4 linked regions of the Anolis sagrei genome follow. The protein of the gene in region 4 purifies or fractionates together with the protein of the main gene of each other region. This does not show direct contact. Links are inferred from orthologs where the notes say so. Each region holds a gene or a part of one and is shown on either strand. Other genes may lie near its edges. The genes, in order: CLNS1A, DDX20, SF3A2 and SNRPF.

Region 1 (7,172 bases), on a different chromosome or scaffold from region 4:
TCTCCCCTTTCTTCCTTCTCTACCTATTCTTGGACTGCAACTCCCAGTAGTCCTGATCCATCCATCTATCTACCTATCTCTATCTAATCTATCTAACTGGAGGATTGCTGGAAATTGCAGTCCAGGAATAGGAAACTGGAGATATGCAGGTTTTGGGATGCGCTCAAAGATTTCCAAGGAGAAGAAAGCTTGCAGCATAGAAGCGGTGCATTTGGATCATCCTCCTCTCCTAAAGGGCCTTGTCTAGGGGATGCTGGGAGCTGTAGTCCGGAAGAGAGTGTAGTTATGCTATTGTGTGTTTTGTTTGCCAGGAGAGTAGTTTTTGCGCATGTGCTGTAGCGTTTTTTGCTTTTTTGACCTTTTAAGTCTCTTCTGCTGTGTTTGTCAGTGTTTTTATGAGTGATGGTCACTCGTTGGCCTGATAGGTGTCTTGTGTCCAAATTTAGTGTCAATTCATCCAGTGGTTTTTGAGTTATGTTAAACGAACATTACATTTTTATTTATATAGATTTTATTTATTGTTTATTACAAAATATGCTTCTGCAACGTAACACCAAATTCAAGCAGGCATTTGGTTAATTCGGTGCAATGAATGTGTTGATTACGGATTGGTAATATGGATGATGAAATTGGACCAGGATTTTAGTTAGGAGATGTATTGGATTGTGATTTACGTGTAATATTGTGTATTATGTTTTTATGGTTTTAATTGTATACTGTGCACTGTATATTTTGTTGTAAACCGTGTTGAGTCGCCAGTTAGGCTGAGAAACGGCGGTATACAAGGACAGGAAATAAATAAATAAAAAATAAATTCTTGTTACTCCGGCACTCCTTCACCATCCTGCCAATGCAGTTACTACTAAAAAAAAATAGTCAGACAGAGAGAAAGGGGGACTGTGGGGCTTGGCAGGTATAAAAAAAGCTTTGTAAAAGAAGCTACTTTCTCAAAGGATTTGTGAACTGAGGTATACCTGCATTCCAGTTACTGAAATTACAGAGCTAAATTCTGCTGACATACATGCAGTGATGTTCTAGCATCTCTGCATACTGATAAGAATGCCAGAAGGACTTGATTCTCTTGAACAGCCCGGCTCCTTCACCTATCCATCGCCACTGGGTATTTTGAGTACTGATATTTTGTTTTACATAATATCTGAATGGGAAGTCCTTTTGTCAACAAAGCCAAGGAAAAAATACTGTTTCTGGACTACAATCACTTGAGGGCCATGTATCAAGATGTGAGGGAAGTCATTGGGAGGAGGAAGCAAGCTTGTTTTCTGCTGCCCTGAAGACTAGGATGCGATGGAACAATGGCTTCAAAGTATTGTAGAAGGTTTTAATGGCTGGAATCATTAGGTATAGAGGCATTCTCTCCTGACGTTTCACCTGCATCTATGGCACGCATCCTCAGAGGTTGTGAGGTCTTTCAGAATGCTTGCCATAGATGCAGGCAAAACGTCAGGAGAGAATGCTTCTAGAACATGGCCATATAGTCCCAAAAAACCTACAACAACCCAATGGCTTCAAACTACAGGAAAGGAGATTCCACCTGAACATGAGGAAGAACTTCCTAACTGTGTGAGCAGTTCAGCCATGAAACTCTCTCCCCTGGAGTGTGGTGGAGGCTCCTTTTTTGGAGGCTTTTAAGCAGATGCTGAATGGTCATCTGTTGGGAGTGCTTTGAATGCCATTTTCCTGCTTCTTAGCAGAATGGGGTTGGACTGGATAGAAAATTGCATTCAAAGCACCCCCGACAGATGACCATTCAGCCTCTGCTTAAAAGCCTCCAAAGAAGGTCTCTGGGGCTCTCACAGTCAGGAAGATTCTATGATTCTATTAAGTTCTTCCTAATGTTCAGATGGAATCTCCTTTCTTGTAGTTTGAAGCCATAGCTCCATTGTGTCCTAGTCTCCAAGGAAGCAGAAAACAAGCTTGCTCCCTCCTCCCTGTGGCTTCCTCTCACATATTTATACATGGCTATCATATCTCCTCTCAGCCTTCTCTTCTTCAGGCTAAACATGCCCAGCTCCTTAAGCCGCTCCTCATAGGGCTTGTTCTCCAGACCATTGATCATTTTAGTCGCCCTCCTCTGGACACATTCCAGCTTGTCAATATCTCTCTTGAGTTGTGGTGCCCAGAATTGGACACAGTATTCCAGGTGTGGTCTAACCAAAGCAGAATAGAGGGGTAGCATTACTCCCCTAGATCTAGACACTATGCTCCTATTGATGCAGGCCAAAATCCCATTGGCTTTTTTTGCCGCTACATCACATTGTTGGCTCATGTTTAACTTGTTAAACATGATATATAAACCTCAGTTGTCTAGTTTCCAACGCATCTCACAACCTCCGAGGATGCTTGCCATAGATGTGGGCGAAACGTCAGGAGGGAATGCTTCTCTCCTGGATGGCCATCTGTCAGGGGTGCTTTGAATGCAATATTCCTGCTTCTTGGCAGAATGGGGTTGGACTGGATGGCCCATGAGGTCTCTTCCAACTCTAGGATTCTATGATTCTACAAGAGAGCGACTAGGATGCAGAACAATGACTTCAAACTGCAAGAGAGGAGATTCCATCTGAACATGAGGAAGAACTTCCTGACTGTGAGAGCCGTTCAGCAGTGGAACTCTCTGCCCCGGAGTGTGGTGGAGGCTCCTTCTTTGGAAGCTTTTAAGCAGAGGCTGGATGGCCATCTGTCAGGGGTGATTTGAATGCAATATTCCTGCTTCTTGGCAGAATGGGGTTGGACTGGATGGCCCATGAGGTCTCTTCCAACTCTAGGATTCTATGATTCGAGGTGAGGCCTACCCAAACTCGGCGACTCACCTCTCGGCCACGAAGAGGGTCCCGCTGCCCAGGCGTCGCCCTCCCAGCACGGCTTCGGTCTCGGCCTGCCTCAGCCGGACGCCTTCGCTCGGCTCCGGGAGGCGTTTCAGGAAACTCATGGCTGCCTGAAAGGAGGGGAGGAAACAGCTAGGCCGCGTCCCCTCCGCTCCGGCACAAAACGGAAACGCGAGGAACCGGAAGCAGCGCGCTGTCACCTCTTTCCGCTTCCGCCTCACGCGACAAAGACCTTTCTGCGTCTCTCCCTTTCTCTCCTTCGCCACAACGCCGTGACGTCATAATCCACTGAGAGTTCCGGACTTCGTCTCCCAGAAGCCCTTGCCATAACGACTAAGGCAGTGGGATTCTGGGAGTCGGAGTTCGGGAGTATCTAAAGCGGGGAATGAAAGGCGGCCATGTTGGATGTTAGTCTAAAACGAGACGGGCCTAGGCCAACTTGGGCCCTCTGTGTGTTTTGGACTTCAACTCCCACAATTCCTAACAGCCTATTAGGCTGTTAGGAATTGTGGGAGTTGAAGTCCAAAACACACAGAGGGCCCAAGTTGGCCTAGGCCTGAGCTAAGGCCTTTCTCAATAAGGCTTGTCTCTTAATAATAATAATAATAATAATAATAATAATAATAATAATGATATAAAATAAATAATCATAGTAGAGAGAGAGAGAATATATATATATTATAATAATTACTATGTTTACTATTCTTACAGTAGATAAATTATTATTATTTACATTATATATATATATAGTAAATAATAATAGTAATAATAATTTATATATAGAAAGAGAATATATATATATATAATAATTATTATGTTTACTATTCTTATACTAGATAAATTATTATTACTATTATTACTATTATTTACATTATGTATATATATTGTAAATAATAATAGTAATAGTAATTTATATATATAGAGAAAGTGAGAATATATATATATAATTATTATGTTTACTACTCTTATACTAGATAAACTATTATTATTACTATTATTATTATTTACATTATATATATATATATATATATATATATATATATATATATATAGTAAATAATAATAATAATAATAATAATTTATCCAGCAAAAGAATAGTAATCATTTTTGTTTCTTTTTCCTGCAGGAAGGAACTGTAATAATAATAATAATAATATCAAATATATTAATATCAAATAAATTACAAAATATAATACATTATAAAATTGTAATTATAAAATATAATAATAATAATAGTACAGTATTATTTTGTCCAACATAATAGTAAACATTTTTGTTCTTTTCTCAGCAGTAGGGAACTGTAGTAATAATAATAATAATAATAATAATAAAGTTATATTAAATAAATTATAAAATATAATGTATTACAAAATATAATACATTATAAAATTATAAGTATAAAACATAAAGATAATAGTATAGTATTATTTTGTCCAACATAATAGTAAACATTTTTGTTCTTTTCTCTGCAGGAGGGAACTGTAATAATAATAATAATAATAAATATAATAATATAAAATAAATTACAAAGTATAATATATTACAAAATATAATATATTATAAAATTGTAATTATAAAATATTATAATAATAGTATTATTTTAAATAGTATTATTTTGTCCAACATAATAAACATTTTTGTTCTTTTCTCTGTATACAGTAGCGAACTGTATTAATGTTTTGTAGTTTTTATATTGTTTCTTTTCCCTGCAGGAAGGAACTGTAATAATAATAATGATAATGATGATAATAATAATAGAATTAATAATTATTATAATATCAAATAAATTACAAAATATAATACATTATTAAATATAAAGATAATAGTATAGTATTATTTTGTCCAACATAATAGTAAACATTTTTGTTCTTTTCTCTGTATACAGTAGGGAACTGGATGGTCTCTTCCAACCCTTTGATTCTAATAATAATATATAAAATTGTAATTATAAAATATAATAATATAGTATTATTTTGTCCAGCATAAGAATAGTAAACACATTAGGTTCTTGTGGGTTTTTTTGGGCTATAGAGCCATGTTCTAGAGGCATTTCTCCTGACGTTTCGCCTGCATCTATGGCAAGCATCCTCAGAGGCAGTGCAGGAAAGAACTATAATAATAATAATAATAATAATAATAATAATAATTTATATAACCCACAAACCATCAATGAAAGGTCACAATACCTTGGAACTGCTCAAACTTGATCCGAAACGGATGATAATAGTGCTTGTTAGTTCTTGCAAGTACACGGCACCTTTACAATTGATTATCCACATTGAGTATCCTTACATTGCTCTTTGCTCAAGTCTTTGATTTCTTTTTTAGAAGTACAATTACAGAGCAAAAAATAGAAGAAAATGAGAAAAGAGAGGGAACTACTTCAGACCTGAATGTGGACTAAGCATTAAGGCACCTAAGGAGATAAAGGTTGAGTAACCTTTATCCGGAACTATTAAATACTCTGAAATTCAAAATTGTCCACATGGTTGACTGTGATAGTAGCGCCTTTTGCTGTCTGATGGTTCAATGTAGACAAACTGTGTTTCATGCAGAAAAGTATTATTTAAATCTATAAAAGTCAGAGTTTGTATATATTTATGTTGGTTTGTACCACAAAGCCTCCTCCATGGCTTGATGGATCTGGACCAAATGTGACACCTTCATTATCCAACTTAAAATAATTGAGGGGTTTGGGGGGGAAAAAGGCCCTTTCAGAGCAGCGGGAAAGACAAGGAACAAAGTGGATTGGTTGTTGCTAGGTGAAGTGGCCCTCTGTGATGTCACTAGGAAAGAAAGGTGACACGTATAAGATGAAGGGAGGAAAGAAAGAATGAAAAGGGAAAGGGGTATAAAGGGAAGGAAGAAAAAAAAGACAAAAGGGAGGAGAAAAGAAGGGATGAAAGAAAGGAGCGAAGAAAAAAGAAAAGGAAAAGAAGGGGAAGGAAGAAATGAGAAAAAAGGGGGACAGGTATGTGAAGGAAAAAAAGAGGGAAAGGAAAGGATTGAAGACCGGAAGGGATGAAGGGAGGGAAGAAAGAAATAGAGAAAAGGAAAAGGAGAAGGAGGAAAAAGGGACACATGTGTGAAAGAAAACAAGGGAAGAATGAAAGAAATTGGAAAGGAAAGGAAAAAGGATGAAAAGGAAGGAAGAAAAAGAAGCGAAAGGTAAGGTAAAGAAAGGGAGACAGATGTGTGAAGGAAAACAAGGGAAGAAGGAAAGAAATAAAGGAAAGACAAGGGAAGAGAAAGGGAGGGAAGAAAGGAAAAGAAAGGGGATAGGTGTCCGAACGTATCTCCTTCTACGTGCCACCTCTGAACTTAAGATCGTCTGGGGAGGCCCTGCTCTCGACCCTGCCTTTGTCTCAAACACGCTTGGTGGGGACGAGGGACAGGGCCTTCTCAGTGGTGGCCCTCCACCTGTGGAATTTGCTCCCCGGGGAAATTAGGTCATCCCTCCTCACCTTTAGAAAAAAGGTTAAAACGTGGCTGTGGGACCAGGCCTTTGGGCAATCAGATTAAAGGACAATTGATAATGTTGACTATGGCATGGAAGAGGATTTGGATAAGTGGAGTAATCATTAGTAGATGGCTAGCTAAACGGCCACCAGACGGGCAATAGCTAATCAGAATCTAAGTATACTGTTTTAATCTTTATTAATGTTCATGTATAATTGTTATATTTGTTATTCTGTATTTTATGTTGTGGCATTGAATTGTTGCCAATTGTAAGCCGCCCTGAGTCCCCCCAGGGGTTGAGAAGGGCAGAGTAGAAATGTTCAAAATAAATAATATAACAAGGGAAGAAAGAAAGGAATAAACAAGAAAGGAAGGGAAGAATGGAAGAAGGGAGGGAAGAATGAAAAAGAAGAGGGGCAGATGTGTGAATGAAAACAAGGGAAGAAGAAAAGGAAGGAAAGACAAGAGAAGGGAACAATAAATGGAAAAAGGGAAGGAAGAAAAAGAGAAAGGAAAGGAAATGAAGGAAAGGGAAACAGATGTGTGAAGAAAAACAAGGGAAGAAGGAAAGGAAGAAATAAGAAAGGAAAGGAAGAATAAGGGAAAGGGAGAAGGTGTATGAGGGAAACTGAGGAAGCAAAGAGTGAACCACAAAAAGGACCTGCACAAAAAGAGTTGTCACTGTGAGGTAGGCCCCCGCAGAGCTGGAGAAGGCAGGCAGCGGTCCTAACAACATCCCAAAAACTGCATATATATATATAGTCGAAGGCTTTCATGGCCGGAATCATTGGGTTGTTGTAGGTTTTTTCAGGCTATATGGCCATGGTCTAGAGGCATTCTCTCCTGACGTTTTGCCTGCATCTATGACAA
Region 2 (7,717 bases), on a different chromosome or scaffold from region 4:
AGCAGCTTCACCGGCTGACAGTCTGTTTCCGGGCACAATTCAAAATGCTGTTTATGACCTTTAAAGCCTGAGACGTTTCAGGTACAGGCTATTTGGCTGACCACATCCCCTTGTACAAGCCTGCCCTGCCTTGAGATGTTTAGGAGAGGTCCCTCTCTCGGCCCCACCTCCATCTCAAGCTTGGTTGGTGGGAACATGTGGCTGCTCCACGACTCTGGAACTCCTTGCCCAGGGAAGCCAGAATGGCCCACTCCCTGCTGCTCTTCTGGCAGCAGGTTAAAACCTTTTTATTCAGACAGGCTTTTAAAGAGGCTGCTGTGGTTTTTAACTTTGAATATGTTCTAATGGATTTTAACTGTGAATTTTTAATACTGTTAGGTTTAATTCTGTTTAAATGTTTGCATATTTGTATATTTTAATTGTATGTTAATGCTTTTATGTTAAACTGCTTTGAGTCTCCTTCAGGAGAGATAAAGCAGGGTATCAATAAATATAATAACAACAAGAACAACAATAAAGATAATAATAGGTTAAGTTGTCATTACAGCAGAAGTACTGTGACTAGGACTCAGGGGTGTGTATATTTGCCATTAAGTTACCAGTTGACTTTTGGCTAAGTCATGGAGAATGACAGATTATGGGAGCTACAGTTCAAAAACATGATGGGGACCCTTTGGGAAACCCCAACACTTGAATAACCATAGATGCATTTAAAACTATAGAACTGATGCAGTCTAACGCTTCAACTGGCATGGCTCAATGTCTTCTCCACCAAACCACTCTCCTGATTCCATAGCACTAAGCCATAGCAGTTAAAGTGGTTGTCAAAGTGCATTAATTCTATAGTGTAGATGCATCCCATGTGTTTGGCAACCTCCAAAAGCTAAATAAAACCACCAATCCCACTAAGCTTCATTCCTCTGAAATGTCCTTTTCTGCAATACAAAAGTTCATGTCTTGATCTCGTTTCTGACAGTAAATGAAGAATCCATTCAATTTAGAAATTAATTACAATTTAAACTTTTCTTAAATTTTAATTTTATTTTGTTACAAATGAAGCAACCAGAGCCTTAACGAGAAGACTTCTTAAGGTTGCTATAAGTTTTTTGGGTGTATGGCCATGTTTCTGAAGCATTATTTCCTGACATTCTGCCTGCATCTATGGCAGGCATAATGTCAGGAGAGAATGCTTCTGGAACATGGCCATACAGCCGAAAATCAACCCAGTGATTCTGGGTAGGAAAGCCTTTGACAAGACTTCTTGAGTTTCCCCAGTCTGAGCAGAAAAAAAATAGCAAAGCACAGACAAGAGAGTAGGGAGGACCTGCTCTCAATCCCACCGACATCGCAAACGCAACTGGTGAGGATGAGGGACAGAGCCTTCTCAGCAGTGGCCCCCTGCCTGTGGAAAGCTCTCCCCAGAGATATCAGAGTGGCCACATCCCTTTTGTCTGTTAGAAGGAAAATCAAGACCTGGCTATAGGACCAAGCGGTTGATCAGTGAGCAACAAGTAAAAGGAGATTTTAACACTTACGGCAATGATTTGACCCAGACTGGATTTTGGACTCCAATTTTTAATAGGCGTGTGTTAATTAATTGTTTTAACTAATGTTTTTCATATTTTTCAATATGTTTAATGTACTGTTGATTGTTTTATGATGATGACACCATATGATGCTTTGTGAAGCCGCCCTCGGAAGGGTGGGATATAAATATAGGAAATAAATAAATAATAAATAAGACGCAAAAAACCCCAAAACAAACTAAGGACGCACCTCTTCTACACTGTAGACTTAAAGCAGTTTGTCACCATTTAACTACCATGGCTCAATACTATGGAATCTATATAAATAAAAATGTAATGTTCATTTGTGGGATTAACAGAACTCAAAAACCACTGGACGAATTGACACCAAATTTGGACACAAGACACCTAACAACCCAATGTATGCCCTTCACTCAAAAAAAATAATTTTGTCATTTGGGAGTTGTAGTTGCTGGGATTTATCGTCACCTACAATCAAAGAGCATTCTGAACCCCACCAACGATGGAATTGAACCAAATTCGGCAAACAGAACTCCCATGACCAACAGAAAATACTGGAAGGGTTTGGTGGGCAGTGTCCTTTGGTTTTGGAGTTGTCGTTCACCTACATCCAGAGAGCACTGTGGACTCAAACAATGATGAATCTGGATCAAACTCCACACAAATACTCAATATGCCCAAATATGAACACTGGTGAACTTTGGGGAAAATAGAATCTTGACATTTGGGAGTTGTAGTTGCTGGGATTAATAGTTCACCTACAATCACAGAGCATTCTGAACCCCACCAACGACAGAATTGGGCCAAACCTCCCACACAGAATCCCCATGTGGGCCACAGCAACGCGTGGCAGGGGACGGCTAGTCATGAATATTTTCGTTTTACATGGTCTTTAGCTCCCTATGCCAACAAAAATGCTGGTGCCTCGCCAAACTACAACTCCCTGGACCCCATAGCACTAAGCCATGGCTGTGATGCCAAACTGCATTGAATCTAGTCTAGATCAGGTATGGGCAAGCTTTGGCCCTCCAGGTGTTTTGGACTTCAACTCCCACAATTCCTAACAGCCTACCGGCTGTTAGGAATTGTGGGAGTTGAAGTCCAAAACACCTGGAGGGCCAAAGCTTGCCTATACCTGATCTAAATGCAGCCTAAGAGCCACAACGTCCTCCCCTCACCTAAACCACATCTCCCGAGAGGGATGGCTTTCAGCTGCACGGGAGAAGGCCTCAGAAACCCGGCAGCCTTCAGTCCTTCCAGCACCAGCGGGGACAGCAGCAGCGAGCTGAAGTCTTCGGGCCCTTCTTGCAAGTGAACGTCCCGGGTACGAAGCCAGCCCTCAGCGTGAGATGCTTCCACAGCCGCCATCTTGGACAGAATGCTGCCGCAAATCTCGCGAGAAGTCCGGACTAGAATGAGAGCAGGTTCTCCCCACCTCTGCATCGTCCCGCGCGGCGAACGCCAGCGAATGAGAACAAACCATTTGAGAGAGGAGGGGTGGAAGGAGGAGGAATAGCACTTTGGCGCCCAAAGGGAGGGGAGGGAGTAAACGATGGAGCCTGATTGGACAAAGATTCAGAAGGTGGGAGAAACCATTGGGCAAGCTGAAGGGGAGGGGCGTAGTTCAATCTCGTTCAAACTTGGGCTTACTGAACTGCACAGTTGAGAGAATAGGAAGCATGTGTCATAATAGCTTATTGTTATCTGTATATTTATCATCCTTGGGGCTGTAATCCTGACAGATACTGTGCAAAGTCTCTAGTAATCCGTGACATTTCCTTTTTGAATGAATGACGCACATACGAGGGTTGACTGAAAAGTAAAGCCTCCACCTTCATTACTTGGGTTTGGAGGGGAATATTTTAATAAATCAAACACAGAAAAAATTAACAAAATCTGGCTACCAGTATTTTAAAAACCCTCTAAAATTACAACAGCAAAACAACAGAGAGGAAACAATCTGGGACCTCTAATCACCTCTCAACAAAAGATTGCCCCAGGCACAGTCAGACCATTGTATGCTAATCAAGGTGGTCAGTTGAAACATTCACTGTCCCACCCTGGTCATTCCACAGATATATAAACCCTTTTTCCTAGTTCCAACAGACCTCTGAGGATGCTTGCCATAGATGCAGGCAAAATGTCAGGAGAGAATGCCTCTAGAATATGGCCATATAGCCCGAAAAAACCTACAACAACCCAGTGATTCTCGCCATGAAAGCTTTCGAAAATACAGAAATAATCCTTAGAATGTGCTCTTTAACTACCACTATTCACTTTTCCACATAATCACCAGACAATTGGATACATTTCTGCCAACGATGAACAAGTTTTCTGAAGCCGTCACAGAAGAAGTCGACACTCTGTTTGCGCAACCAGCGCCTCACAGTTCTCTCAATGTCTTCATCAGAAGCATAATGATGTTCCTGCAGATCTTTCATTATCGGGAACAGGATAGAAGTCAGACAGGGCTAAATCTGGACTGGGTTGTTGTAGGTTTTTTCGGGCTATATGGCCATGTTCTAGAGGCATTCTCTCCTGACGTTTCGCCTCAGAGGTAGTGAGGTCTGTTGGAACTAGGAAAAAGGGTTTATATATCTGTGGAATGACCAGGGTGGGACAAAGGACTTTTCTCTGCTGGAGCTTGTCCCACCCTGGTCATTCCACAGATATATAAACCCAGTTTTCCTAGTTCCACCAGATTTATGCTTGCCATAGATGCAGGCGAAACATCAGGAGAGAATGCCTCTAGAACATGGCCATATAGCCCGAAAAAACCTACAACAACCCATTGATTCTGGCCATGAAAACCTTCGACAATACATTAAATCTGGACTGTGTGGAGGATGCCATACGGTGGTGAGATCCAGCCTCTGAAGTTTCGAGTCTGTGCATTTTCATTTCAGGCATCAGCATTCTGGGTACCCATCGTGCACAGATTTTTCAATAGCCAAGCAAAGCAATAATGTGACCCACACGTTCTTGTGAATTCCGATTATGCTTGAAATTTCTCTCTGAGTTATACAACGATCATCCTGAATCAATCTGTCAACCATTTGCTTGTGAAACTCAATGGTTGCTGTCACAGGACGTCCAGCTCTTTGTTTGTCACGCAAGTCAGATTTTCCCACCTCATTACCTTTAAACTTTCTCGCCCAATGATGCACAGTACTCACATCAACACAATCACCATAAACAGCTTGCATTATTTGATGAATCTCCTTTGGGGTGACACTTTCTGCTGTCAAGAATTCAATGACTACACATTGCTTAAGTCGCATTGACCGACCATCTGCGCAGGGTTCCATTCTTCACACTTTAATAACACAACTGTTCAATGTTAAGGCTTCCCACCAAAATGGAACTGTCAAGGAGAGCCTAATGAACAAGCCAGTACCTGCCGCATACCAGTACTGCCATCTGTTGAGTTGCGAAGGTGGAGGCATTATATTTCATTGAACCCTCGTATATCTAATTGTGTGCGGGGGGAGGGGGGTGGTATTTGTTTCTAAATTATTAGCTGCCTTGAGTTCCTATAATGATGATGATGATGATGATGATGATGATAGTAATAATGGTGAATTAGAACAACACATCTATTTGGAATAAATCCATGGATATAAATCTTTCAATTCTTCTACACTGTAGAATCAATGCGGTTTTGGCACCACCAACTGCCAAGGCTCAATGCTATGGAATCAAGGGAGTTGTAGTTTGACAAGGTCTTTAACCTTCTCCTCCCCAAATTACAATTCCCAGGATTCCATAGCACTGACCCATGTCTGTTTAAAGTGGTGTCAAATTGCATCAATTCCACACTGTGGGTGGACCCCTTGTCTTCAAATAGGAATCTATAGGAATGGAATGGGCGTCCTCAAGCAAATCTTTGTCCTCTTTCTATGGCTCCTTCCACACATCTGAATTAAAATCCCACATTACCTGCTTTGAACTTGGATATATGGCAATGTGGACTCAGACAATCCAGTTCAAAGCAGATATTGTGGGTTATTCTGCCTTAATATTCTGGGTTATATGGCTGTGTGGAAAGGCACTATGTTGATTGTCCTTTTTATTATGTTCTAGGCTAGTTTGAGAACAGTTTCCAAAAAGGAGCATTTCCAAAAAGAAATAACATTCTGATTATATTGCTGGGGGGGGGGTTAAAATTTGTTGTGATATGGTAATTTGAAATAGTGGTCAGCAGTATTCTTTAGTTAAATTCTATATTAGACTCATAGAGTTAGAAAAGACCGTATGGGCCATCCACCTTAACTCCTGCCATGCAGGAAAAGCACAATCAAAGTACGCCTGACAGATGGCCATCCAGTCTCTCTTTAAAAGTTTGCAAGGACGGAGCTTCCACCACACTCCAAAACAGTTCCACTGCTGAACAGCTCTCACAGTCATGAAATTCCTCTTAATTTTCCAGTGGAATCTCCTTTCCTCTAATTTTAACCCATTGCTCCATGTTCTGAGACTACACTGCCATATATTCCAGTTCAAAGCAGGAAATGTGGGATATTATTCAGCTGTGTGGGATATTATTCAGCTGTGTCTCCAGAGCAGCAGAAAACAAGTCTCCTCCCACTTCCTTATGACATCCTTTCACATGTTTATACATGACTATCATGTCTCCTCTCAAACTTCTCTTCTGCAGGCGAAAAATACTCATCTATTTAAGGCACTCCTCATATGGCATTGCCCTCCTCTGGAGACCTCACAAGGTTTTCATTTTGAATTGCTATTCTTAGCAAATGATACTTATTAGTTACTGGTTAAAATAAATTCACATAACAAGTTTAGTTGTTGGGTTGCTGTGAGTTTTCCGGGCTGTTAATAGATATTGGAAATACTGATTCTCGCCAGAAGAGGGTGCAATCTGCATATAGGATACATCTTTTATACAGTATTGATGTTTGATGTGCAGGGAGAGTATAATTCAAAATAGTTGCTCGGCATCAAAAATAATCCCACTTCTTATTAATGAGAAGGAGTAACAAATTAACCAAGCGCATGTGAAGGCATACAAAATCAGGTGTGGTGATCGAACATTTGGAAATAAGCCACATGAATGTTGCAAGAGCAGTAGCTCAAGGAACATGCGTTATATTTCTTATGGGTAAGAATTTAGATTAACTAGTATATTTGGTTAGTCTTTGAACTATTTTATCACAACATGAAGACATCTCAGGAAATCTCATTCTTGTGTTATGGGCCTGACTCATTTTCATTTCCGGATCTACACAATCAATATATGACCTGTGTCGACCCATATAATACAGTTAAGGGCAGTTCAAACTGCATTATATGAATCTATAGTGGCCACATAATGCAATTCAGACTGCATTATTTGGTAGTGTGTATCCAGCCCAAATCATAATTTTAAACTTTTTTTCAGCCATGGTTTGCCAGAAAAGTTACAAAGAATTCAATGACTGTAAAATATAACTCTTTTCAGCTTTAGATGTAACTTTTTGCAGGAGCTCATTGAGACCTGAAAATTACATTCAAGGGTTTTTCCAGGGGAAAAGACTGGAAAAGTCCAATTTAAGACAACCAGGGTTTTGTTTGTTTTTTTAGATTATCTAAAAGTCAAAGTAAAAGCTTCTGACATGTTGGTTATGTCTGGTCCAAACTATTGTACCACATGTGTGTAGCTTGATTCATGTGTATGGACATTTTTCTCCAATTAATTTCTAGGTGTTACATTATATAGTGAAATATAACATGGACTATTGTTTTTCTTTTCTTTCACATTTTATTTCATTAAAACACTTAAACCATTCATCCTCCGTTCATACCTTCATAATGTCCTTCCTCCAATGCTTAAGCCCGTGATGGTGAACCTATGACATGCGTGTCATCATTGACACGCATGGCTATTTTGATGACACGCAGACACATGCGGCCACATACAGAGAAATAGACTTTATAAGAGCCAATCTAATTCCATCTTTCAATTTGTAAAAGGCTTTACAAATTTAACATCTGCACGTTTGAGCATTGTTCACTCCATAACTCAGCATGGATTATACATTTTTCTTATTTAAACTATAAATATTGCAAAATTATGGGGTTTTTTTCTCAAAGTGACACTCCACCCAAGTTATGCTCAGGTTTTTGGCAAATTTTGACACACCAAGCTCAAAAGGTTGCCCATCACTGGCTTA
Region 3 (7,058 bases), on a different chromosome or scaffold from region 4:
CAGACGTCTATTCAGGATGTAACCAGAGCGTGGACCACCGTGGCCAAATTTATTATTATTTACTATTATATATTCAGACACACATATATATACACACAGCCATTACACCAAATCTGTGTGGCTTTGTCAGGGAGTGTGGCACAATAGATGCAATATATGCTGTCCGGTTACTCATGGAAAATCATTGGGAAAAGAAATTGAATCCAGACAAGACAGAGGTTCTCCTGGTCAGTCGCAAGGCCAAACAGGGCATAGGGTTTCAGCCTGTGTTGGATGGGGTTACACTCCCACTGAAGACGCAGGTTCGCAGCTTGGAGTGATCCTGGATTCATCGCTGAGCCTGGAACCTCAGGTTTCGGCAGTGATCAGGTGAACATTTTCACAGTTAAAACTTGTGCGCCAGCTGCGCCCATATCTTGGGAAGTCTGACTTGGCCACAGTAGTCCACGCTCTGGTTACATCCCGTATAGACTACTGCAACGCTCTCTACGTGGGGTTGCCTTTGAAAAAGGTCCGAAAGCTTCAACTAGTCCAACGAACAGCAGCCAGGTTGCTAAAAGGAGCGGCGCTCAGGGAGCATACAACCCCCTTGTTGCGCCAGCTCCACTGGCTGCCGGTTTGCTACCGGGCCCAATTCAAAGTGCTGGCTTTGGCCTATAAAGCCCTTAATGGTTCTGGCCCAACTTACCTGTCTGAACGTGTCTCTCTTTACGAACCATCAAGGACTTTAAGATCATCTGGGGAGGCCCTGCTCTCGGTCCTGCCTTTGTCTCAAGTATGTTTGGCGGGGACGAGAGACAGGGCCTTTTTAGCGGTGGCCCCTCGGCTATGGAATGCCCTCCCTAGGGAGATTAGATCTGCTCCCTCCCTCTTAACGTTTCGGAGGCAAGTTAAAACATGGCTGTTCGAGCACGCATTTATAAATGCAGAGTAGCTAATACAGGAAATTGAACGATTTGACAATGGAACTGGACAATGCTTGATAATAATGAGACGCTAATGATGTTGTTTTTATTACTTTTGTGGTGTTTTATATTCTTTAATGTTTTAATCTGTATTATGTTTTTATATGTTTGGGAGTCCTCTTGGATTCATCGCTTACGCTTGAGGCTTAGGCGTCGGCGGTGTCCGGGAGGGCTTTTGCACAATTGAGACTTGTGCGCCAACTGCGACCGTACCTCGCAAAGGCTGATCTGGCCGGGGTGGTCCATGCCTTGGCCACCTCTAGATTGGACTACTGTAATGCGCTCTACGTGGGGCTGCCCTTGAAAACGGCTCGGAAATTCCAACTGGTCCAACGGGCAGCGGCCAGGATGTTAACTGGTGCTGCTTACAGAGAGAGGTCAACCCTCCTGTTCAAGGAGCTCCACTGGCTGCTGTTTATTTTCCGAGCCCAATTTAAGGTGCAGGTGCTTACCTACAAAGCCCTAAACAGTTTGGGACCATCCTACCTGCCTGACCGCATCTCCGTTTATGAACCCACGAGCTCACTTCGTTCATCCGGAGAGGCCCTGCTCGTGATTCCGCCTGCGTTGCAGGCGCGTTTGGTGGGGACGCAAGACAGGGCCTTTTCTGTGGTGGCCCCCCAACTCTGGAACACCCTCCCCAAAGATCTTAGACAGGCCCCTACATTGGCAGTCTTTAGGAAGAACTTGAAGACCTGGCTGTTCCGATGTGCCTTCCCAGATTAGGAATCTCCAATACCAAGTCCCAGAAGCACTTTATTAGAATTAAGATTGTTGCATACTGCACACTGCACTTACCCTATAATCCTTACATATCACCTGTCACATCAGCACTTTTAATTCTGTACCCATTACTCTGGCCCGGCCCAGTTTTATTGTGTCTTGGTGTATTGTTTATTGCTTGTTGTTAATATTGCTTTAATTGTTTTTAATTTGCTTAGGTTTTGTATTGTTATGTTGTATTTTGAGGCCTTGGCCTTTGTAAGGGGCATCGAGTCCTTCGCGAGATGCTAGCGGGGTACAAATAAAGTTAATAATAAAATAATTGTTAGGTTTTACTATGTATTGAGTCATGCACTGCTAATGGGTTAATGGGCTTCTGTTGGGAATGCTGAGAATGTATTGATTGTATGTGGGGAATCATTTGGGAAATGTGTTTTTGCCTACTCAGAGTGATTGTCTATGACACAATCCTGGGTTTGGGTTGGGTCAATTAGTTGGTAAGCAATCAAGGAGTAAATGTATTGTAAATGTATTGTATATAAGGAAACCATGTACAATGTATATTCCCCTTCCTTTGATGTTGTGCTGTTATTCGTCAAAGACTATAAAAGAACCTGTCTACTTGGACAAGATAGTGCGTACTGTGGTGAGTCTGTGAGTATGTAATATCATCTAAACTGGGGGAAAGACAATGGTAAAAACTGGATAATGGCCTGGCATGTGCTCAAGTATCTACTGTGGAAGCAGAAGACTGAAAAATCTTCTGAGCAGGAGGAAAGCTGCTGGAACGCGCTGAGGCTGTGCAAGTGTGAAGTTAACTCTGGCCATAACAATAATAATAATAATGTACTGATTTGTTGGAAACCACTGAACTTTGTATTCCTTGATCTCGAAAAAGCATTTGATCGGATTTCCCATGAACTGATTTGGCGAGCACTACAATTAGGCGGCTGAGGGGGAAAAGGAAAAGGCCTGAGGCTGTTAGGAATTATGGGAGTTGAAGTCCAAAACACCCGGGAGGAAGGCCCAAGTTTGCCCATGCCTGGCATAAACCCTCAAGAGGCCAATACATGCAATTAAACCAGGCAAAGATATAGAGCAACATTGGTTGAAGCCAAAGGTTTGGAACCCTTCCCTAGACCCTCAGGACGCCATTGCTTACCCCGCTTCGGCCCCGCTTCAATCTCCTCTCCTCTCTGGGAGAGAGAAAGAGCACGGGAAAAAGCCAAACGCGCCGCTCAAGGATCCACTTCCGGCCAAAACGTCTCAGGCTCGCGCGCCGGAAGTGATGTCGAGAAGAGGCCGGGAGCGGAAGTGGGACTATTGCAGCGCCTCTTACCGCGAGAGGGGGGCGTCGGCCATGCGGTTCAACGAGCGGGAGTTGCTCTCGCTCTCGCGGCAGCCGGCGGAGAAAGCCGCCGAGGTGCTCATGCGGGCGCCCAAGAAGGGAAGCCGTGAGTGAGGAGAGAGAATAAGGAGGGGGGAGGGGAACAGAGACCAAGCGGCGGCGTCACGACGCACAGGGAGGGACCAGCCTCGTGACGTCACGGTCCAAACCACGCCCCTCAGGGAAACAGCCCATTCGAGTCGCGAGGGCGGTGTCGCGTGACGTCACGCCGCAGGCCACGCCTCTCAAGTAGTACTACCTTTTGGGAGGCTTTTCCCTTTCCTATTCTGGACTAGAAACTTGAGTGGCCTTTAAATCCTCAGAAATATTACAGATTTCATGTAGGATTGGGAATATTTGCCTAGGCAGCATTGAGTGGCTTGTGTTTATGTTATTTGAGTATTTTTTATTTATATGTTGCCAATTATATATATTATTAATAGTATTTCTGTTTTTATATCTCGCTTTTCTCTCTCTCAAAGCAGCCAACAATGTTTCAAAAAATATAATAAAATAAATGGAAGTCTACATTTTAAAGCCAAAACATGTAAACATTAAAACCAGAGGGTTGTTGTAGGTTTTTTCGGGCTGTACGGCCATGGTCTAGAGGCATTCTCTCCTGACGTTTCGCCTGCATCTATGGCAAGCATCCTCAGAGGTAGTGAGGTCTGTTGGAACTAGGAAAAAGGGTTTCTATATCTGTGGAATGACCAGGGCGGGACAAAGGACTCTTATCTGCTGGAGCTAGGTGTGAATGTTTCAACTGACCACCTTGATTAGCATATAATGGCCTGACTGTACCTGGAGCAAACTTTTGTTGAGAGGTAATTATATGTCCCTGCCTGCTTCCTCTCTGTTGTTGTGCTGTTGCAATTTTAGAGTTTTTTAATACTGGTAGCCAGATTTTGTGCATTTTCATAGTTTCCTCCTTTCTGTTGAAATTGTCCACATGCTTGTGTATTTCAATGGCTTTTCTGTGTAGTCTGACATGGTGGTTGTGACAGTGGTCCAGTATTTCTGTGTTCTCAAATAAAATGCTGTGTCCAGGTTGGTTCATCAGGTGCTCTGCTATGGCTGATTTCTCTGGTTGAAGTAGTCTGCAGTGCCTTCCATGTTCCTTGATTTGTGTCTGGGCGTTGCGTTTGGTGGTCCCTATGTAGACTTGTCCACAGCTGCATGGTATACAGTAGACTCCTGCAGAAGTGAGAGAATCCCTTCTGTCCTTTGCTGAACGTAGCATTTGTTGGATTTTCTTGGTGGGTCTGTAGATTGTTTGTATGTTGTGTTTCCTCATCAGCTTCCCTATGCGGTCAGTGGTTCCCTTGATGTATGGCAAGAACACTTTTCCTCTGGGTGGATCTTCATCTTTACTCTTGTGGCTTGTTCTTGGTCTTGCAGCTCTTCTGATGTCTGAGGTGGAGTCTCCATTGGCCTGTAGAGCCCAGTTGAGGTGGTTCAGTTCATCTTGAAGGAGGTGGGGTTCGCAGATTCTTTTTTGCACGGTCTGCCAAGGCTTTAATGGTGCTTCTTTTTTTACTTGGGTGATGGTTGGAGTTTTTATGTAGATATCTATCTGTGTGTGTGACAAGCCTTCGACAATACATTAAAACCAGAATTAAACATTGGAGTATTATAATTAAACAGAAGATCATTCAAACCGATTATCTTGATGCATCACAGTCTGGTTTTAGGCCTGGTCACTGTATGGAGACGACTTTGGTCGCCTTGGTGGATGACCTCCTCAGGGAGCTAGACGGGGGAGTGTGTCCCTGCTGGTTCTCTTGGATATCTCAGCAGCTTTCGATACCATTGACCATGGTCTCACTCTGGGTCGGCTCTCTGGAATGGGTCCTGGGGGTATTGCTTTGCAGTGGCTCCACTCCTTCATGGAGAATCGCATCCAGAAGGTGATGCTGGGGGATCCCTGCTCGGATCCCTGTCTATTGACTGTGGGGTCCCGCAAGGTCCCATTCTATCTCCCATGCTTTTCAACATCTGCATGAAAGGGAGAGACACTGCTTTGCAGTAGCTCCACTCCTTCCTGGAGGATTGCACCCAGATGGTGATGTTGTGGGACCCCTGCTCGGCAGCATTGAGTGGCCTGGGTTTATTTTATTTGAGTATTTTTATTTATACATTATTATTACCAATAATATATATTAATAATATTTCTAGTTTTATATCTCGCTTTTCTCTCTCTCAGAGCAGCCAACAATGTTTCAAAAAGTATAATAAAATAAATAGAAGTCTACATTTTAAAGCCAAAAACAAGTAAACATTTAAACCAGAATTAAACATGGGGAGTATTAAAATTAAACAGAACTCATTCAACTCGATTATCTTGATCCATCACAGTCTGGTTTTAGGCCTGGTCACTGTATAGAGACGGCTTTGGTCGCCTTGGTGGGTGACGTCCGCAGAGAGCTAGACAGGGGGAGTGTTTGTTTCCCTGCTGGTTCTCTTGGATGTCTCAGCAGCTTTCGATACCATCAACCATGGTCTTGCTCTGAGTCGGCTCTCTGGAATGGGTCTTGGGGCGTATTGCTTCGCAGTGGCTCCACTCCTTCCTGGAGGATCGCACCCAGATGGTGATGCTGGGGGACCCCTGTTCGGATCCCTGGACATTGACCTGTGGGGTCTCGCAAGGTTGCATTCTATCTCACATGCTTTTCAACATCTACATGAAAGGGAGAGGTCATCCAGAGTTTTGGCGTTTGGTGCCATCTGTACGCAAATTAAGCACAATTCTACTCCTTTCCATTTAAATCCAAGGAAGCCCCTCAGATCTTGGACCAGTGTCTGGCAGCTGTGATGGTCTGGATAAGGGCCAACAAACTGAGGCTTAATCCAGATAAGACAGGGGTCCTCCTGGTCAGTCATGATGCTGATAGAGGTATAAAATGGCAGCCCATGCTCAACGGGGTTACACTCCCCCTGAGGGCACAGGTCTGCAGTCTGGAGGTCCTCTTGGACTCAGCGCTGACACTTGAAGCTCAGGTGTCGGCGATGGCCAGGAGGACTTTCACACAGTTAAAACTTGTGCGCCAGCTGCAACCATACCTCGAGAAGCCGGATTTGGCCACGGTGATCCATGGCTTAATTACTTCAATATTGGATTATTGCAATGCACACTACGTAGGGCTGTACCAGTTGCTCAGAAACTGCAGCTGGTATAAAGGTCGACAGCCAGGCTTCTAACTGGAGCTAATTATAGGGAGCACACAGTGCCCCTATTAAAGCAGCTCCACTGGCGGCTGATAGGTTTCTAGTTGCAATTCAAGTGCAGATTATGACCTACAATGCCTTAAGCAGTTAGTGTCTTTCCTATCTTCGTGACCGTATCCCCCCTAAGAACTGGTATGATCTCTAAGATCTGCTGTGCAGGCTCTCCTCTCGCTTCCACCACCGTCACAAGCACGCTGGTAGAGATGAGGGAGGGCATTCTTGGTTGTGCCCCCCTGACCCTTCCCAGGGAGATTAGGCAAGCCCCCAAACTGTCCCCTTTTTGTAGGGATCTGAAAGCCTGGATGTTCCAGCGAGCATTCAAGAATGACTAGTCCTTAGTGATGTAGGCCCAGCCCCTAGGTTGCTAGACAGTTCTACATCTATCCACTTCCTATGTATACTATTTGCACTATTCCTTGCCCAGCCCCTTTTTATCTTTTTCATGCCCATTTTAGTTAGCTTGCTCATTAGTTTTTGTTGAGCCTGATCTGACGGGCTTTGATGCAATGTTTTATGCTTTTTAATATTTTTAATGTGTGTTTTATTTGGGTTGTTGTATTTTACAATGCTTTTAATGTATGTAGTTTTATAGATTGTTTTTGCTTTTATGTCTTGTGGACATTCTGTCCCATGCGTAAGCCACCCCGAGTCCCTTCAAGGAGATGGTAGCGGGATATAAAAATAAAGTTATTATAATTATATTATTATTGATTTAATATTTCAATTTGGATGTCTCTCTTTTTGTAGCCCTGAAGAAG
Region 4 (7,910 bases):
CTTTGGATTGAGAGGCAAACTCTGCATGGGACAAAGTGGAATGTAAGAAATCTGATAAATCAGAAAAAAGGCATTCTACTCACACGCTGAATACTAGATGCATAAAGAAAGCAATGCATGAGGACATCACTTGTGTTCTTTCACAGAAATATACTGCTTCTCATATGGTAATGTATGTTCCTGATCAGTTGTTAAAGCTTTATGCCTCACAATTTTCAATAGCCTCAGTTTAAAGTCAAAGCAGAACTTTAAGAACTACATTGGATCAAAAAAAAAATGTAGCCCACTGTTTGAAATTACAACCTCTTATTATTTATTTATTTATTTATTTCGGGCTTTTATATCCCACCCTATCTCAACCTCAGCAGAGGGACTCAGGATGGCTAACAAATCGGCACACCATGGCGCCCACATCAAAAACATAAATACACAATTTAACGGCAATATAATAACAATAACAGTAATAACAGTATAAAAACGATCAATCAATCAGTCAGTGGTCACCGGTTTAAATCATCATCCAAGGGGAGTCCATCAGTTCTGTATAAGTCAACACGTCAGCAAGTCAGCCTAATCTACAAAGGCCTGATCGCATTGCCAAGATTTTACTTGTTTCTGGAAGGTGAAGAGGGATGCAGGGGATCTAATTTCACTCGGGAGGGAGTTCCATAGCCGGCGGTCACCACAGAAAAGGCCCTGCCCCTGGTCCCCGCCAGATGCGATTGTGACAATGGGGGAACAACGAGCAGGATCTCCCCAGATGATCTTCGGGCCCTAGGTGGATCGTAGCGGGAGATACGTTTGAACAAGTAAACTAGGCCAGAACCGTTCAGGGCTTTATAGGCCAAAGCCAGGATTTTGAATTGTGCTCAGATGCTGATAGGTAGCCAGTGGAGCTGGCGTAACAAGGGCGCTGTGAGCTCCCTGTACCCAGCCCCAGTGAGCAATCTGGCTGCCGAACGTTGGACTAGTTGAAGCTTCCGGGCAGTCTTCAGAGGCAACCCCATGTAGAGTGCATTGCAGTAGTCTATTTGGGATGTAACAAGAGCGTGGACCACCATGGCCAATTCAGGCTTCCCAAGGTACGGGTGCAGCTGGTGCACAAGTTTTAACTGTGCAAAAGCTCTCCTGGCCACCGCCAAAACCTGGGGTTCCAGGCTCAGCGATGAGTCCAGGATCACACCTGCACCTTCAGGGGGAATGTAACCCTGTCAAGCACAGGCTGTAACCCTACCGGCTGTTAGGAATTGAAGTCCAAAACACCGGAAGGGTTGAAGTTTGCCTGTGCCTGATCTACAGTGTGATCCAAACCTGACATTCCTCTATACACTGCGTCATCAGTTGGGGACCCCTCCCCCAAGTACCAACTGCTGCTCTGGGCCAGAGTGAAGACAGAGGGGAGTAGAAGACAGTTCCACCTTGTCTCCTGTGCTATTCTAATTTATATATATATATAATGTAATGCAATATAATACTAATATATTATAATTATACTAGCTGTCCCCTGCCACGCATTGCTGTGGCCCAGTCTGGTGATCTGAAAAATAAAGTAATGGTTTCTAATCTATGTAATTTCTTTCTGCTTGTGGGTAAACAGTATTTCTTGTTGTTTCTTTGTCAGTGTTGATGTGGAGAGTGTATGGTTTGCCCACCCTGGAACATGCAACATAACATTGTCCTACTTTAGGGGTCCCTTTCAAATCTATAATATTATATTTGTGTGTGTGTGAATCATATATATCTATCTATATCTATGGCTGGATGGCTCTTTGTCAGGAGGGTTTTGATTACGTTTTCTTGCCCTGGTGAAGGGAGTTGGACTGGATGGCCTTACATATTTTCTGTTGGTCATGGGGGTTCATTTGCCCCAATTCTGTCGTTGGTGGGGTTCAGAATGCTCTTTGATTGCAGGAGAACTATAAATCCCAGTAACTACAACTCGCAAATGTCAAGGTCTATTTCCCCAAAACTCCATCTGTGTTCATATTTGGGCGTATTGAGTATTCATGCCAAGTTTGGTCTAGATCCATCATTGTTTGAGTCCACAGTGCTCTCTGGATGTAGGTGAACTACAATTCCCAAACTCAAGGTCAATGCCCACCAAACCTGTGTGCCAAGTTTGGTTCAATTCCACTGTTGGTGGAGTTCAGAATGCTCTTTGATTATAGGTGAACTACAAATCCCAACAACTACAACTCCCAAATGACGAAATCATAGTTTTTTTGAGTGATGGTCACTCCTTGTGTAGTGAGACATTTTGTTGCCAAATTTGGTGGGATTTCGTTCATTGGTTCTTTTGTTTTTAAGGTACTCATTATGCACAGAGCATTTTATATAGATAGATATACATATAATATTTATAATATTATAATGCATTGCAATATAATACTAATATATTATAATTATATATTTATATTACTAATAATATTAAAATATAATGGTATAATACAATATAGTAATATTTAATACTGATATTGTACTGTACTATTAATATCATATATTGTATGTATGTATGTGTGTGTGTATATATATACCTTGTAAGCCGCTCTGAGTCCCCTTCGGGGTGAGAAGAGAGGCATATAAATGTCGTAAATAAATAAAAAATAAATACTACAACTCCCATCACCCACTGCTCCCTGCCATGAGGATAAGGGGCCTTGTAGTCCAATGTATTCGAGGGAGACAAGCAGGTGGACGCTTGTATCCAAGGGCTGGCTTCCCAGCCCACTATATCCGAGGCTGTGGGGCCTCCCAGCCGCCCTTTCCTTCCTTCCTCCCGCCTGAACCTCACTATGATCCGGCTCCCGAGGGCCTAAGGCCCGCAGCAAAGCCCCTCTTTCCTCCCAAAGACAAAGGCACTCACCATAGCAACCCGGCCAAGGAAGGGGAGGCTGCAAGCACACAAAAATTACTCTCAGGCAGCACGTGTGCCCGCCAGAGCTCTAAATGAAATACTCGGAAGTGACGTCCAGCTAGTTCCGTCTTCCTAATGACCTTTCACCCGCGCATTTTTCCCTCCTTCTGCTATTTATTTTATCCCCTCTTTCTATGGCGTTCTGTCTGTTGGGGGGAAAGCCACGCTCTGATTGGCTCGTTTCGCACAATAGAGGCGGGGCTACAGCTGCCAATGTTCGATGGAATTTAGAGACTAGGATTATCAGTGAGGCACTTCCGGGCTTTTTTTTTACTTCAACTCCCAGAAGCCTCTGCTGCTTTGGCCAATGATCAGGGATTCTGGGAGTTGAAGTCCAAAACGCCTAGGGGGCCAGCCTTTGGGAAACACGACTCAAGGAATATGAAAGGCTACTTCAACAGAGAAGTCAGCCAAAGCAGAGCACCAAACTGGGCACAGCAAATTATTTGAGAACACAGAAATGCTAGACCACTCTAGCAACCACCATGTCAGACTACACAGAGAAGCCATTGAAATCCATAAGCATGTGGACAATTAAAACAGAAAGGAGGAAACCATGAAAATGAACAAAATATGGCTACCAGTATTTTAAAAAATCTCTAAAATCAGGACAGTAAATAAAGAACAACACCAAGAAAACAGGGGAATTTATTTATTTACTTTATTTGTATACCGCTCTTCTCAGCCCTTAGGAGACTCAGAGCGGTTTACAACAATTTAGGTATACACAATATTTATTTACTTTGCTTATATACCGCTGTATCTCAAGCCCGAAGGCGACTCACGGCGGTTCACAAACAGTAAAAACAGTAGAAACAGCAGTGGTTCCATACAACATAAAACAATTGACTTAACACATTATCCATAAATTACCAATAAGCAATTACAATGCACAATTATTACAAAAAACAACCGTATCCAATCTTCTCATCATCCAAGCGTAGTCCATCATTAAGCATTTAAAAGCAATAGCATCACAAATCATTAAACATCAGTATCAATACATCACTACATCAATATAACAAATCCATCAGGCCTCAGCAATGAAATCAGAATCCAACTCGTTATCCAATATTCCGTGTTCCGATAGTCAGTCAATCAATCACACTGCTTAGTCGAATGCCTGTTCAAACAGCCAGGTCTTTACTTTCCTCCGGAATGCCAGCAAGGAGGGGGTCGATCTAATATCTACAGGAAGGGCGTTGCACAGCCAAGGGGCCACCACTGAGAAGGCCCTGTCTCTCGTCCCCGCCAGGCGTGCTTGTGAAGCCGGCGGGATCGAGAGCAGGGCCTCCCCAGATGATCTTAATGTCCTAACTGGTTCATAGGAGGAGACGCGTTCGGACAGGTAGGTCGGGCCTGAACCGTTTAGGGCTTTAAAGGCTAAAACCAGCACTTTGAATTGTGCCCGGTAGCAAATTGGCAGCCAGTGGAGCTGGCGCAGCAGTGGAGTGGTGTGCTCCCTGAGTGCCGCTCCTGTTAGCATCCTGGCTGCCGAATTGCAGGCAGGAAACAATCAGGATCAGCTACCATCCCAACAAAGGATTCCCCCAGGCAGCAACCAGCCAGGCATTGAAGCTGCAAGGCAATTCAATGCTAATCAAGGTGGCCATTTGCAACATTCACACTTGCCTCAAGCAGACAAGAGTTCTTTCTTCCACCCTGGACTATCCACAGATATATGAACCTCACTTGCCTAGTTTCCAACAGACCTCACAACCTCTGAGGATTCCTGCCATAGATGTGGGTGAAACGTCAGGAGAGATGTCCATTTTCTGGCTATACAGCCCAGAAAACTCACAGCAACCCACTGATAGTATTCTCAATGGAAAGGAAAGCAGTTACGATGGAACTGCCAATTGATCCACTGCAAAGCACCTCTATCATCATCATCATCATCATCATCATCATCATCTTTATCCTTATCATTATTACCACCTATTACAATGCATCCTGAGCCCTGCCGCATGCACAATGGAGGACGTTCTTATAGCAACACCAGAGGCACTCCAAGTGGCCAGCTACTGGTCAAAGGGCATGTAACATGGGTTGTTGTAGGCTTTTCAGGCTATATGGCCATATTCTAGAGGCATTCTCTCCTGACGTTTCGCTGCATCTATGGCAAGCATCCTCAGAGGTGGAGCCCCCGGTGGCACAGTGGGTTAAATCCCTGTGCTGGCAGGATTGAAGACCGACAGGTTGCAGGTTCGAATCAGGGGAGAGGCGGATGAGCTCCCTCTATCAACTCCCGCTCCTCATGCGGGGATATGAGAGAAGCTTCCCACAAGGATGATAAAAACATCAAATCATCCGGGCGTCCCCTGGGCAACATCCTTGCAGACGGCCAATTCTCTCACACCAGAAGCGACTTGCAGTTTCTCAAGTCGCTCCTGACACGACAAAAAAATAATAATCCTCAGAGGTTGTGAGGATGCTTGCCATAGATGCAGCGAAACATCAGGAGAGAATGCCTCTAGAACATGGCCATAGAGCCCGAAAAGCCTACAACAACCCAGTGATTCCAGCCATGAAAGCCTTCGACAAGACATGTAATATAATGCTAAGTTTTCAAACTTTATGTTGTTGTTTTTTTAAAAAAAATGCAATACAATTGTACCCTTGGTTCGCTCCTGGTACGATAAATAAATATAACTTTTTTTTTTACCAAAAGGAAAGCTATTACAATGATGTCAAACTGCATTAATTCTATAGTGTAGAAGCAACTTCCTCCCGTCTTCACAAGACTTTACAGTGAAGAGCCTTTGACTGCATTGAAGACTCTCCATGCCATCTGTTAGAATAAAGGCCTGAGACTCTAATAGCATCACTCTTTTACTTGTGCATGCTTTTTAACATCTTTGTCTGATGAAGAAGCCAATGTCTCAGAATTACAATCAGAATGCTGTTAATGGTCAATGTATTGTTATTAGGTACTTGAACATTTTTAGTATCTCTTTCCATCAGATGTATTGGGTCCTATGAATTGCTATATTTATATTGACCAGCAGGTGTCAGCAAATAGTTTTGGTTTGACTATAATCCTATTCATATCAGGAGTGGCCAGGACAACTGTTGCAGGCTGGTGACCCAAAATGACATTCTAGAGGACTAAGGCCCCTACTACACTGCCATATAAAATCCAGATTATCTGCTCTGAACTGGATTATACAGCAGTGCAAATCCAGCCTGAATTGAACTGCATTACATGAGTCTACACCAGGCATGGACAAACCTTAGCCCTCCAGATGTTGTGGACTGCAATTTCCATAATTCCTAACAGCCTACCTACCGGTGGTGCAAAACACCTGGAGGGTCAAAGTTTGCCCATTCCTGGTCTTCACTGTACATACAATGCAGCTTCAAACTGCATTATATGGCAGTGTAGATGAGGCCAAAGTGATATCTCCCTCAAAAACTACAACTGTCAGTCTTCCTTAATTTGTGGCGGTGTTTAGTGATAGACACATGAAATAATAGAATGTCAAACTGGGAGCTAGGTGGAAGGACAAGCAGAGTAATAACCAGGAACAATGAAATGGCAGTTATTTATTTATTATTTATTTATTTACTATATTTATATACTGCCCCTCTCAGCCCAGAGGTGGCTCGGAGCGGTTCACAAATTAGCAACAATTCCATGCCATATCAATTAAACAGTAAAAACAGTCAATAAATTCTATTAAATACAATAACATATAGTATAAAAATATAAAAATATATAAAAACCGTACAAAGCCTTAAAGCATTGTCATGAGCGTCTCCATGCCAAATCATTATTCCATTGTGTTGTTCCATAATTTCCTTTAGCTATGCTGTGTTTGGGAAGGCCTGCTCAAAAAGCCAGGTTTTCACCTTCTTTCAAAAAGTCAGAAGGGAGGGAACCGATCTTATATCTCTAGGCAGGGCATTCCACAGTTGAGGGGTCACCGCTGAGAAGGCCGTGTCTCTCGTCTCCGCCAGACACAACTGCGAAGTAGGCAGGAGCGAGAACAGGGCTTCCCCAGAAGATCTTAACATCCTAGAAGGTTCATAAGGGGAAATACGTTCAGATAGGTAAGCCGGGTTATATTATTTCATTTGTGTACTCGCTTTGTGTATTCCTTGACATCATGTGACACTTATGAAATATTGAAGTCTGTAAGATAATTCATGGTCAGCACTTTCTGTGAGCCCTTCCACACAGCCGTATAATCCAGAATATCATGGCAGAAAATCCCCCAATATCTGCTTTGAACTGAGCCCACACTGCCATATATTCCAGTTCAAAGCAGAAAATGTGGGATTTTATTCAGCTGTGTGAGAGGTAGTACACTCCGATCTAACTTATTTTAACCCCAATCAAAGGATAATCTACACTGTAGAATTAATGCAGTTTGATACCACTTTAACTGCCATGGCTCAAAGCTTATGAAAACTTGGGGCGATAGTTTAATGAGATACCAACCTATGGCAGAGAAGGCTAGACCTCATAAAATTACAGCTCCCACGACCCCAAAGCATTGGGCCACAGCAGTTAAAGTGGTATCAAATTGCATTAATACTCGAATGTAGATGCACCCTAGTTTTAGGAGAAAATCCAGAATATAAATGAAATAAGTAATATTCCCAATATTTCTATCATTATGAAAGACAGTATGAATATCATTTGTATTGATCTTACCAACCTCATTTGTCCACAAGGCATGAAATGTTTATGTGGAAATGAAGGCAATTTTTGAGCAAACGAAATAGAATAAATGGTTGCACATTTATAAGGCTGAAAATCTGCCCTTCTTTGTATTGGCATTGTGTAACAGCAATGCATTTTTTCTTTGGATTTGTCACAGTTCTTCCGCACACAGATTAAACAGCCATCCTATTGGGAGAGTATTTAAAAACAGTACAGTTTGCTGGTGGGATTTCATAAGCAGTTTCTGAGAAAATTGTATTTATTTCTGTGTTATTGTTTTCTTCCACATATTTTACATTCATTATTTGGACTAAAGTATATGTGCAG

Evidence for each region.
Region 1: the proteins of SNRPF (region 4) and CLNS1A purify together in Homo sapiens (affinity purification with mass spectrometry; 3 studies listed by BioGRID and IntAct, counting the BioPlex papers as one, with this or other methods). This does not show direct contact. The link is inferred for Anolis sagrei from reciprocal best matches to the Homo sapiens genes SNRPF and CLNS1A.
Region 2: the proteins of SNRPF (region 4) and DDX20 purify together in Homo sapiens (affinity purification with mass spectrometry; 5 studies listed by BioGRID and IntAct, counting the BioPlex papers as one, with this or other methods). This does not show direct contact. The link is inferred for Anolis sagrei from reciprocal best matches to the Homo sapiens genes SNRPF and DDX20.
Region 3: the proteins of SNRPF (region 4) and SF3A2 purify together in Homo sapiens (affinity purification with mass spectrometry; 4 studies listed by BioGRID and IntAct, counting the BioPlex papers as one, with this or other methods). This does not show direct contact. The link is inferred for Anolis sagrei from reciprocal best matches to the Homo sapiens genes SNRPF and SF3A2.

Annotation. Positions count from the first base shown.
Region 1 is NC_090023.1:9,832,553-9,839,724, forward strand, and holds the start of CLNS1A (methylosome subunit pICln), read right to left. Parts: upstream 3,034-7,172; 5' UTR 2,948-3,033; coding exon 2,829-2,947; intron 1-2,828. UniProt on the Homo sapiens protein: Involved in both the assembly of spliceosomal snRNPs and the methylation of Sm proteins.
Region 2 is NC_090024.1:199,508,814-199,516,530, reverse strand, and holds the start of DDX20 (probable ATP-dependent RNA helicase DDX20), read right to left. Parts: upstream 3,006-7,717; 5' UTR 2,991-3,005; coding exon 2,726-2,990; intron 1-2,725.
Region 3 is NC_090034.1:51,590,116-51,597,173, reverse strand, and holds the start of SF3A2 (splicing factor 3A subunit 2), read right to left. Parts: upstream 2,977-7,058; 5' UTR 2,851-2,976; intron 1-2,850. Other genes in the region: PLEKHJ1 (pleckstrin homology domain-containing family J member 1), read left to right, coding at 2,977-3,142, 7,048-7,058. UniProt on the Homo sapiens protein: Component of the 17S U2 SnRNP complex of the spliceosome, a large ribonucleoprotein complex that removes introns from transcribed pre-mRNAs.
Region 4 is NC_090025.1:155,432,961-155,440,870, reverse strand, and holds the start of SNRPF (small nuclear ribonucleoprotein F), read right to left. Parts: upstream 3,012-7,910; 5' UTR 2,867-3,011; coding exon 2,864-2,866; intron 22-2,863; coding exon 1-21. UniProt on the Homo sapiens protein: Plays a role in pre-mRNA splicing as a core component of the spliceosomal U1, U2, U4 and U5 small nuclear ribonucleoproteins (snRNPs), the building blocks of the spliceosome.